Linked DNA regions of Daphnia pulex. The protein of the gene in region 1 purifies or fractionates together with the protein of each later gene. This does not show direct contact. Links are inferred from orthologs where the notes say so. Each region holds a gene or a part of one and is shown on either strand. Other genes may lie near its edges.

Evidence for each region.
Region 2: the proteins of dynamin-binding protein-like (region 1) and bridging integrator 3-like purify together in Homo sapiens (co-immunoprecipitation; 5 studies listed by BioGRID and IntAct, counting the BioPlex papers as one, with this or other methods). This does not show direct contact. The link is inferred for Daphnia pulex from reciprocal best matches to the Homo sapiens genes DNMBP and BIN3.

Annotation. Positions count from the first base shown.
Region 1 is NC_060018.1:2,573,549-2,577,379, forward strand, and holds the end of dynamin-binding protein-like, read left to right. Parts: coding exon 1-108; intron 109-181; coding exon 182-331; intron 332-407; coding exon 408-578; intron 579-640; coding exon 641-709; intron 710-798; coding exon 799-1,035; intron 1,036-1,104; coding exon 1,105-1,266; intron 1,267-1,330; coding exon 1,331-1,513; intron 1,514-1,587; coding exon 1,588-1,812; intron 1,813-1,871; coding exon 1,872-2,061; intron 2,062-2,148; coding exon 2,149-2,567; intron 2,568-2,636; coding exon 2,637-2,745; intron 2,746-2,817; coding exon 2,818-2,900; 3' UTR 2,901-3,334; downstream 3,335-3,831. UniProt on the Homo sapiens protein: Plays a critical role as a guanine nucleotide exchange factor (GEF) for CDC42 in several intracellular processes associated with the actin and microtubule cytoskeleton.
Region 2 is NC_060017.1:5,564,109-5,567,629, forward strand, and holds bridging integrator 3-like, read left to right. Parts: upstream 1-1,543; 5' UTR 1,544-1,663; coding exon 1,664-1,671; intron 1,672-1,728; coding exon 1,729-1,836; intron 1,837-1,892; coding exon 1,893-2,589; 3' UTR 2,590-2,752; downstream 2,753-3,521. UniProt on the Homo sapiens protein: Involved in cytokinesis and septation where it has a role in the localization of F-actin.

The DNA.
Region 1 (3,831 bases):
ACGAATCAATCAATCGGCAAGAGTTTTATTCAGACGGAACCTGAATTTCGTCGCGTATATAGCCTTTATTGCATTAATCATGATAACGCGCAGTTTCTTTTGGAAAAAGTAATTGTTGTTGTTGCTTTTTGCGCAACTTCTTATCTCAACAACTTACCCCTTAATCTTTTTTTTACTGCAGTACGAAACTCTGCCCAGCGTCCATAAAGTGTTGGATGAAGGGATCGCCACTCTTCGAAACGAAATAGTTTGCTTCAATGTGGGTTCAGTCATTATTAAACCTGTTCAACGCATACTGAAATATTCCTTGATATTGGGAGAACTGATAAAGGTGATCTATTTTTCTACTGTTATCTACGACAAAAATTTGATCACAGATGACTGAAGTATTTGTTTTTGTTACACAGCATACCGAGAATGATCACCCCGATAAAAGCAACTTGGTATTAGCCTTGGGACTGATGACTAATGTTGCCTCGCATATCAACGAAAGCAAGCGCAAAAAAGAAATTGTGCTCAAATATCGTGATTCTGGATTGGAAGAAAAGCTCAGTGCGAGAATCTCTCGTTTTAACATGGTAAACCGTAGAATTAAAAAATTAGCTTTACTGAATTATAATAACGTTGTTTCATTGAAAAGCACTCTGTGGCAAAAAAATCTTCTCGAATTGGCATGCTCTTGAAAACGTCACTTGGCATGGCTCCCACGGTCAGTTTTCTTCAAATGCCTCTAAATTATCGTCTGCCATTTCCAGATAATTGTTTGTTTAGTGTTAAGTACCCTTCTTTTATTTACAGACGAAGGACATAGCTTTCGAGGAAGTAGAACTTCGTTTCGGAGAACTGTTTCGTGTCATCCAGGCGGCTTTGCGAGATATCACTGCCGTATGTGAGCAACTCAAGGGCACTTCACAAATACAGTTCAATATATCAGAAGCTTTTGCTTCTTTCTACGGTGAAGCAAACAGAGTCCCACTGATCGACAACTTCCGTACAGCCCAACGTATAATTTACACACAGCACTGGAACTCATTTGTGAGTGCAAAAGTGTTTTTTTACGCCATCATTAGAATAATATAAGTAAATAATGTTTTATCATCTTAGGACGCTTACGTCATACAACATGTACGTAACCCTTTAACGGCTTTGTGCGACGCCTGCGTGGGTCCTGAAAGGCTAATTGTTAAGAGACGAGACAAATTGCTCGATTCAAACATCGCTAGCGAGCGGTTGGCTAGAAATAGAGATCCAGCAATGAGACGCACCGTGAGCTTTTTGTTTATCTATGCATGAAGTGATGTGACTTATTAATAGATGATTTGAAATTTAGTTGGAGGAAGAAGAAAACCTAGCTCGAAATACCCATTTAGCTCTTAATAGTCAACTTATGGAGGAGCTTCCAATCATTACAGAGCACGGATATAATATATACCGACGCTGCGTTTCGTCGTTTTTATATGCCAGGAAGCTTTTGGTTGGACGGATTACTAAATCTTTATTAGATTTAAATGAGGTATAGAAGTCTATTAGAATATTTGGTCGTTTTCTCCAACAAAAATTATTATTTCTTACCGATATTATATTTAGATTTCAGATATCGCCAGTCTTCAAGGAGAAATAGAGGAGGATTTCCAACTTTCCTACGGCAAAGCCGTGGATCGCTTATCTAGAATTACTTTTATTAATAAATCCTTTCGCCGTTCATCCACCAATGTTGTGTCAACCGATGGATCTGTTTCTCCCAATGATCCTGTGCCAGTACGGAATAGGCTTTCTTCTGCTTTAGGCAATCATAGCCCCGGAGAAGGAATTGTAGGTTCCATAATCATTAATATTTAGTCGATCTTTTGTATTTATTTGTCATGAATCAGGTTGTTCAAAGTCGAGAAACGGTCAATATTCTTCGCTCAAAATATCAACCCGAGCAATTGTACATGGTGACAGGTCGTTGTGAAATTAGGGATCCAATGGACTTGTCAGCTAATTCCGGTCTAATTGTCAGTGTCGTCAAACGAGAAGATCCAATGGGCAATACTGGCCGCTGGTTTGTTGATGCCGGAGGTAAAATCATATTTATAATTACAGGGAAATATATAAATTCTTATTTAACTAATAAGTTAATCCCTTTATATGTTTCGTCAACGTCAGAAGTGCGAGGTTTCTTACCTGCTAAACATCTAAATCTTTTTTCGCCACCTGCATCGACTCATTTAAGACCCGAATCCACTACGTCGGTGGCATCGAGTGTTGTGAGTGTTACCTCTTGTAATTCTAGCTCATTGGAAAAACTCTATTTCGATGAAGAAGAAGAACCAAGTTCTACAAACGGAGAAAATGTATATGATTTACCTCCTTCGTATGAAGAAGCTTTGGGAAACGAAGAAGCACAGTCTCCCCATCGTTACTGCGAAATAGATGATTTATTAGTTGACGAATCCAATTCTAAAGAGATGAACGCAGCGTATTACTCTCCTGATGAGAAGGCTGAGAGTCCTATTTACGCTATCATAGAAGACATCATTCCATCAAGAGAAAGCAAAGAGAAGTTATCCTCAACGGAGAATAATGTGCGTAATCATTTTGATAGCACATAGCTTTATCACATAATAATGCTACTGATAAATTGTATTTTTCAGATTTATAAAGTGGAATTTACATTCCAAAAAAGCACAATCTTAGAGATTGATTTGCTTGAAAATGAACTCGTCACTGTCCTTGCTAAGCACGATGAAGGTGGAAATGAAGGTGAAATAATATTTTTATTTATCCTAGAAAACAGTCAAATGGCAATATACTTTTTTTTCTAAAAAAACTCAGAATGGTGGTTGGTAGAAAACGATTCAGGAGCTCAAGGATACGCACCCGCTGCATATCTAACAAAATGGCCACAGACGTTGTAGTTCCTCATTTGATGAAACTCAAATGTTACATTTCGCATTTTATATGAAACTTCAAAATAACTGGTATAACATTTTATTTTGAAAAATTTATCTGTGTAATTTACCGGTATATTTACTTCTTCGTACGCAGAAAAAAAAACAATTCATATTACATATTTAACCAAACTGAAACAAAACTTTTTCATTAATCCCTCTAATAAGTATAATCACTAATAACCAATTGGAAGCAACTAATCATCAAGTTGAAATCGGGGTTCTTAAATGGCTGTCTTGATAAGGGAGAGAAGAGAATAACGAATTTAAAATTGCATCAATTCGCTATCACTTTGATAGAGCGTATTCGAATATCTCGTTTCCCAATTTGCACGATTTTTTTCTTGTGTAAAACTGCCAGTTGTGCCTTTAAAGATATAAATAAATTGAAAATCCACCGATCTCTGCTGCGAGAGCAAGTTTCTCTCTAGAACTAATTAACCTGCTTGTTTTGAAATCTCCTATTAATGTAAACAAAAAAAAATTTAAAATTACGGTGTCTTTTTGATTCGGTTTTAGCCCAACTATTGTAACCTTTATCTATTTTTTTTTCATCCAATACCTGACGTAAAAATTCATTACATGTGACAGGTTGCATTGGTGTTGAAGAAATACCAAAAAACGTCCCAAACATCTAGCCTGAAATATTTCCAAATCGTGGTAGAGACCTTTTCTATCACATATATTAGTATTTTTCGTGTTGAATCAGTGAAGAATACTCTATTTTACAATAATTAAAAGAGAAAACTCATTACACGTGTTAGGTTGCATTGGTGTTGAAGAAATACCAAAAAAAACGTCCCAAACATCTAGCAAGAAATATTTCAAAATCTTGTTGGAGACCTTTCCTATCACATATAATGGTATTTTTCATGTTGAATCAGTCTATAATACTCTG
Region 2 (3,521 bases), on another chromosome or scaffold:
CGCCAACCCGAACCAACTAAAACCCATCACAAATTCTAAGAAATGCCTAACAAATTACAAATAGCAATCAAGCTAATTAAGCTAACATCAAAACCCCTAACAAATAAAAATGGCGACTCTTTCTCTCAAAAGCTTCAGCTGACAAAAAACCAAGAAAAGGGTAAGGGCTTAAAAGGCTAGCCTACGCCCAACAACTGAAGACAAACCTGGCCACTAGATGTCATCTTCAGTGTCTCAGCCAACAACAATACAATTTTTCAAAAATTATTACGACTAAATCCATCAGGGGAACTTCACAATTTGATGGGTGGACCAATTTACCAAATTCGTCAATCACTTCAATCAGGCTCTGAGCAGAGAGATTGATTTGGCAGCGGAGGAAATGAAACTGACTGCATTTCACTTCCACTTCATCTTCGCTCAACGTCTTCCAGAGGTGAGCAGCTTCTGCGTTGCTACTCTCGTCCACCATCTTCACTCAATTTTAGATTACAAGCATCCTGGGTGTCAGGGCACACGAAATAGCGTTCACGTGATGAATTCTTCCTGCACTGTGCACTGTTTGTTGGTAACTTAGTATATGTATTAAAAAAAGAAAAAAAAAAAAACAGTTGAGTGTTATGCATCTTAGGTTTGTTTGTTAACTATATCATGGGAGTCACCTGCCTCAGATAGTAGATAGCTCTTGATAAAGAGTTTTTTCAAATTCTGTCTTGACCAAAAGTCCAAACTGCAGCAATATTTCATTTGATAGGGGACTGGTAGTAGTATCATGTATTTCTTTCCCCAACGCATGCATTTCATCGCCAAAGCCAATTTCTTCCCGGATGTCAGTTCTTTTGGCAAAGATGCGTTTTGCAATGAACCTGCATTCGCGCCGATCGGTCCATTCCGTCGCCCGTCGGTCGTGACCTAAAAATTCCAGAGTCCGAAAAGAAAATTAAGACATTTCGTTAAAATATCCAGAAAAAGTTATTTTTACTAAAACACTCAATCTCGAGATGCTAAAGTCTTTCTCAATAGCCTTGTTCATACCAGCTGTAAGAGATTGGCTCTAGAAGACAACACATTAGAGGGTAACGGGACATCCGTGGGTAACACAGCATTCGAGAGGTAAAAAGCAAACTTTTTCGTTAACGGACTCATTTGCCAAATTCTCACTACAATCAAACAATTAAATTATTCGTGATTAAAGCTTTGCGACACCTTCAGTCATCACCTACACTGTTAGGTGGTCACTTTGCAACTGGTTTGGTGAATGGTGATGCAGACGAACTTCCGAAAGAACTGGGAAAGTGGGAAGCGCTGTTGCAGTGCTGTTATTACTGTCTTATTAGTTATTACGGATTTACGGCCATTAGTGAGTTACTGAACGTTATAATATTTAAGTTTATAATGTAACAAAAATTACAAACAGAAACAGCCTGGAAAGTGGACACAGCCTACCTTTCTATCGGAGGTAGCTGAGTGAAAAATGCAACGCTGGATGTTAATTGCTTATTGTAAAAATTAAAAATCTTACAATTCTGTCCCATAGATGGCAGAGTGCAACAACTTGTTGTTTTCGGTTGGGTTGGTTCTGTTTCTGTTGTGCAATATATTTTGTCTTGGTTTATGTCCCATGAGATAAGACAACTCAGGTGGGATCGTGCGGTTTGGAATCATGAATTGGTATATTATTTGCAACTTATTATTATTAAATGCAAATTTTTAAAGTATTTTTTGTAGGGGTCTAATGAAAAGAAGTCAGCTTCATGCTAGGCCATCACCTTCATGTGGACTATGCACAATTGCCGAAGAAGCAGATATTGATTATGCATTTCTCCGGCTTCAAAAGTATTTATTTTTAAGTTGATTTCAAGTATTAAAATACATTTTTTTTTCATGTACAGGCTTGAAGAAATCAATCGAACAGTCCAAAAAGAGTGCAAGAACCTGAAAGAGTCATTTTCCACTTTAGCCCGTTGTGAACAGAAGCTCACTTCAGATCTGTCATCATGTAACCAAGTGTATGAAGAGGAACATTTCAGAGTCTTAGCAGAAGAATACCACTCAGTTTCCAAACAAATGGGGGAATCTGCCAAACAATTTTCTGATATTGTACAAGTTACTGTGAATGACCCCTTAAAGAAACTTGCTAATGAATTTGGAAGTGCACAAACAGCTATTAAAAAAAGAGATCAAATGATTACTGATCTCCTTCCTGTAAGAAAACAGTTAGAAAAACTCAAGGAAAAGGAGAGAACAGGAACAAACATTGCAAGGACAGAGCAGCTTAAACGTTCCTTATCTGTTATGGAAGGAGATTTTAAAACTACAAACAAACAACTATTGAATGACATGAACACAATGTTGGATCTGCGAGCAGATTACATTGAACCATCCCTGTTAGCATTAATTCGAGCCGAAACTAATTACTATGGTGAATGCACGAAACTATTCAATTCATTAGTCCTTCACAGCGGCACTAGTCCTAAAAGAACTTCTCCGAAAGCGACAAAAAGCGAACCAGCTGCTTCAGAGTTAATAGCACAATTTAGTCAAGATATGCAAGCTATACGTGCTCTTTCCATTGTTGCTGATAAGTAAAATTAAAGCTATGCATTACCAAAAATTTGTTGTAACAGTCCATCCAGCATCCTATACCCGTCACATTTCTTTCCTATAATAATATTTAGTATTGGTGTGCACTCAAGTGTCTTAAAAACTGTTATAAATACTTTTATAAATACAGAGTACATTTTTCGTCGAATATTTTCTAATTACATCTTATATATATTTCGTTTCCTATTGCTCCATGCCTCCATCAACAAATTCTTAAGTAAATGCGTTAGATGAATGAATTTATTGATATAGGCAATCCATCATATGACCACTATATAAGTAAATTACATTGATGCGCGCCACGGATTGCAAATTCAATCGATTCAAGGAAAAACAAATTATTTCCACTATAAAAAAAGAAGGGAAGAGAAAAAAAAATAAGGGAGGCGGTCGTCAGGGAACAACTCAGTAGAAGGCTTAATGTGAAAGTTGGGGAAATGATCAATACAGAAATTCCTTTTTAGTGGCGTTGGGAAACAAGGTTACTCGCACATTATTTCACGCCATTGATCTGCTGGATATACAATTAAAAGAGGCGGATTAAAAAACTCATACAGAACTCAATTGTCGATTTGAATCGATGGCAGTCCGACGTGTCATCCTGAAAATAATATTTAAAAACAATTCCAGGTGAAAAGAACAGCGTCTGACGGCTAAGTTGGGCACGTGTTTGCGTGTGTATCTGTGATTAATAAACATTTTATTTTCCAATATATCCATTCAAAGAACCTTCCTCTGTCTCTCGCCTCCTTCAATCTCTCTACACTTCGACTAGCCAGCAGCTGGTTGTGAAAGAAGAAATTAAGGCCCGGAAAATTCCCTATAATATAATATATATGCATAAGAGAAGTGGGAGCGAGAGTTGCAAAAAAAAAAGAAAAAAAAAAGAAAAAAACAGCCAGATATAAACTGAGAGC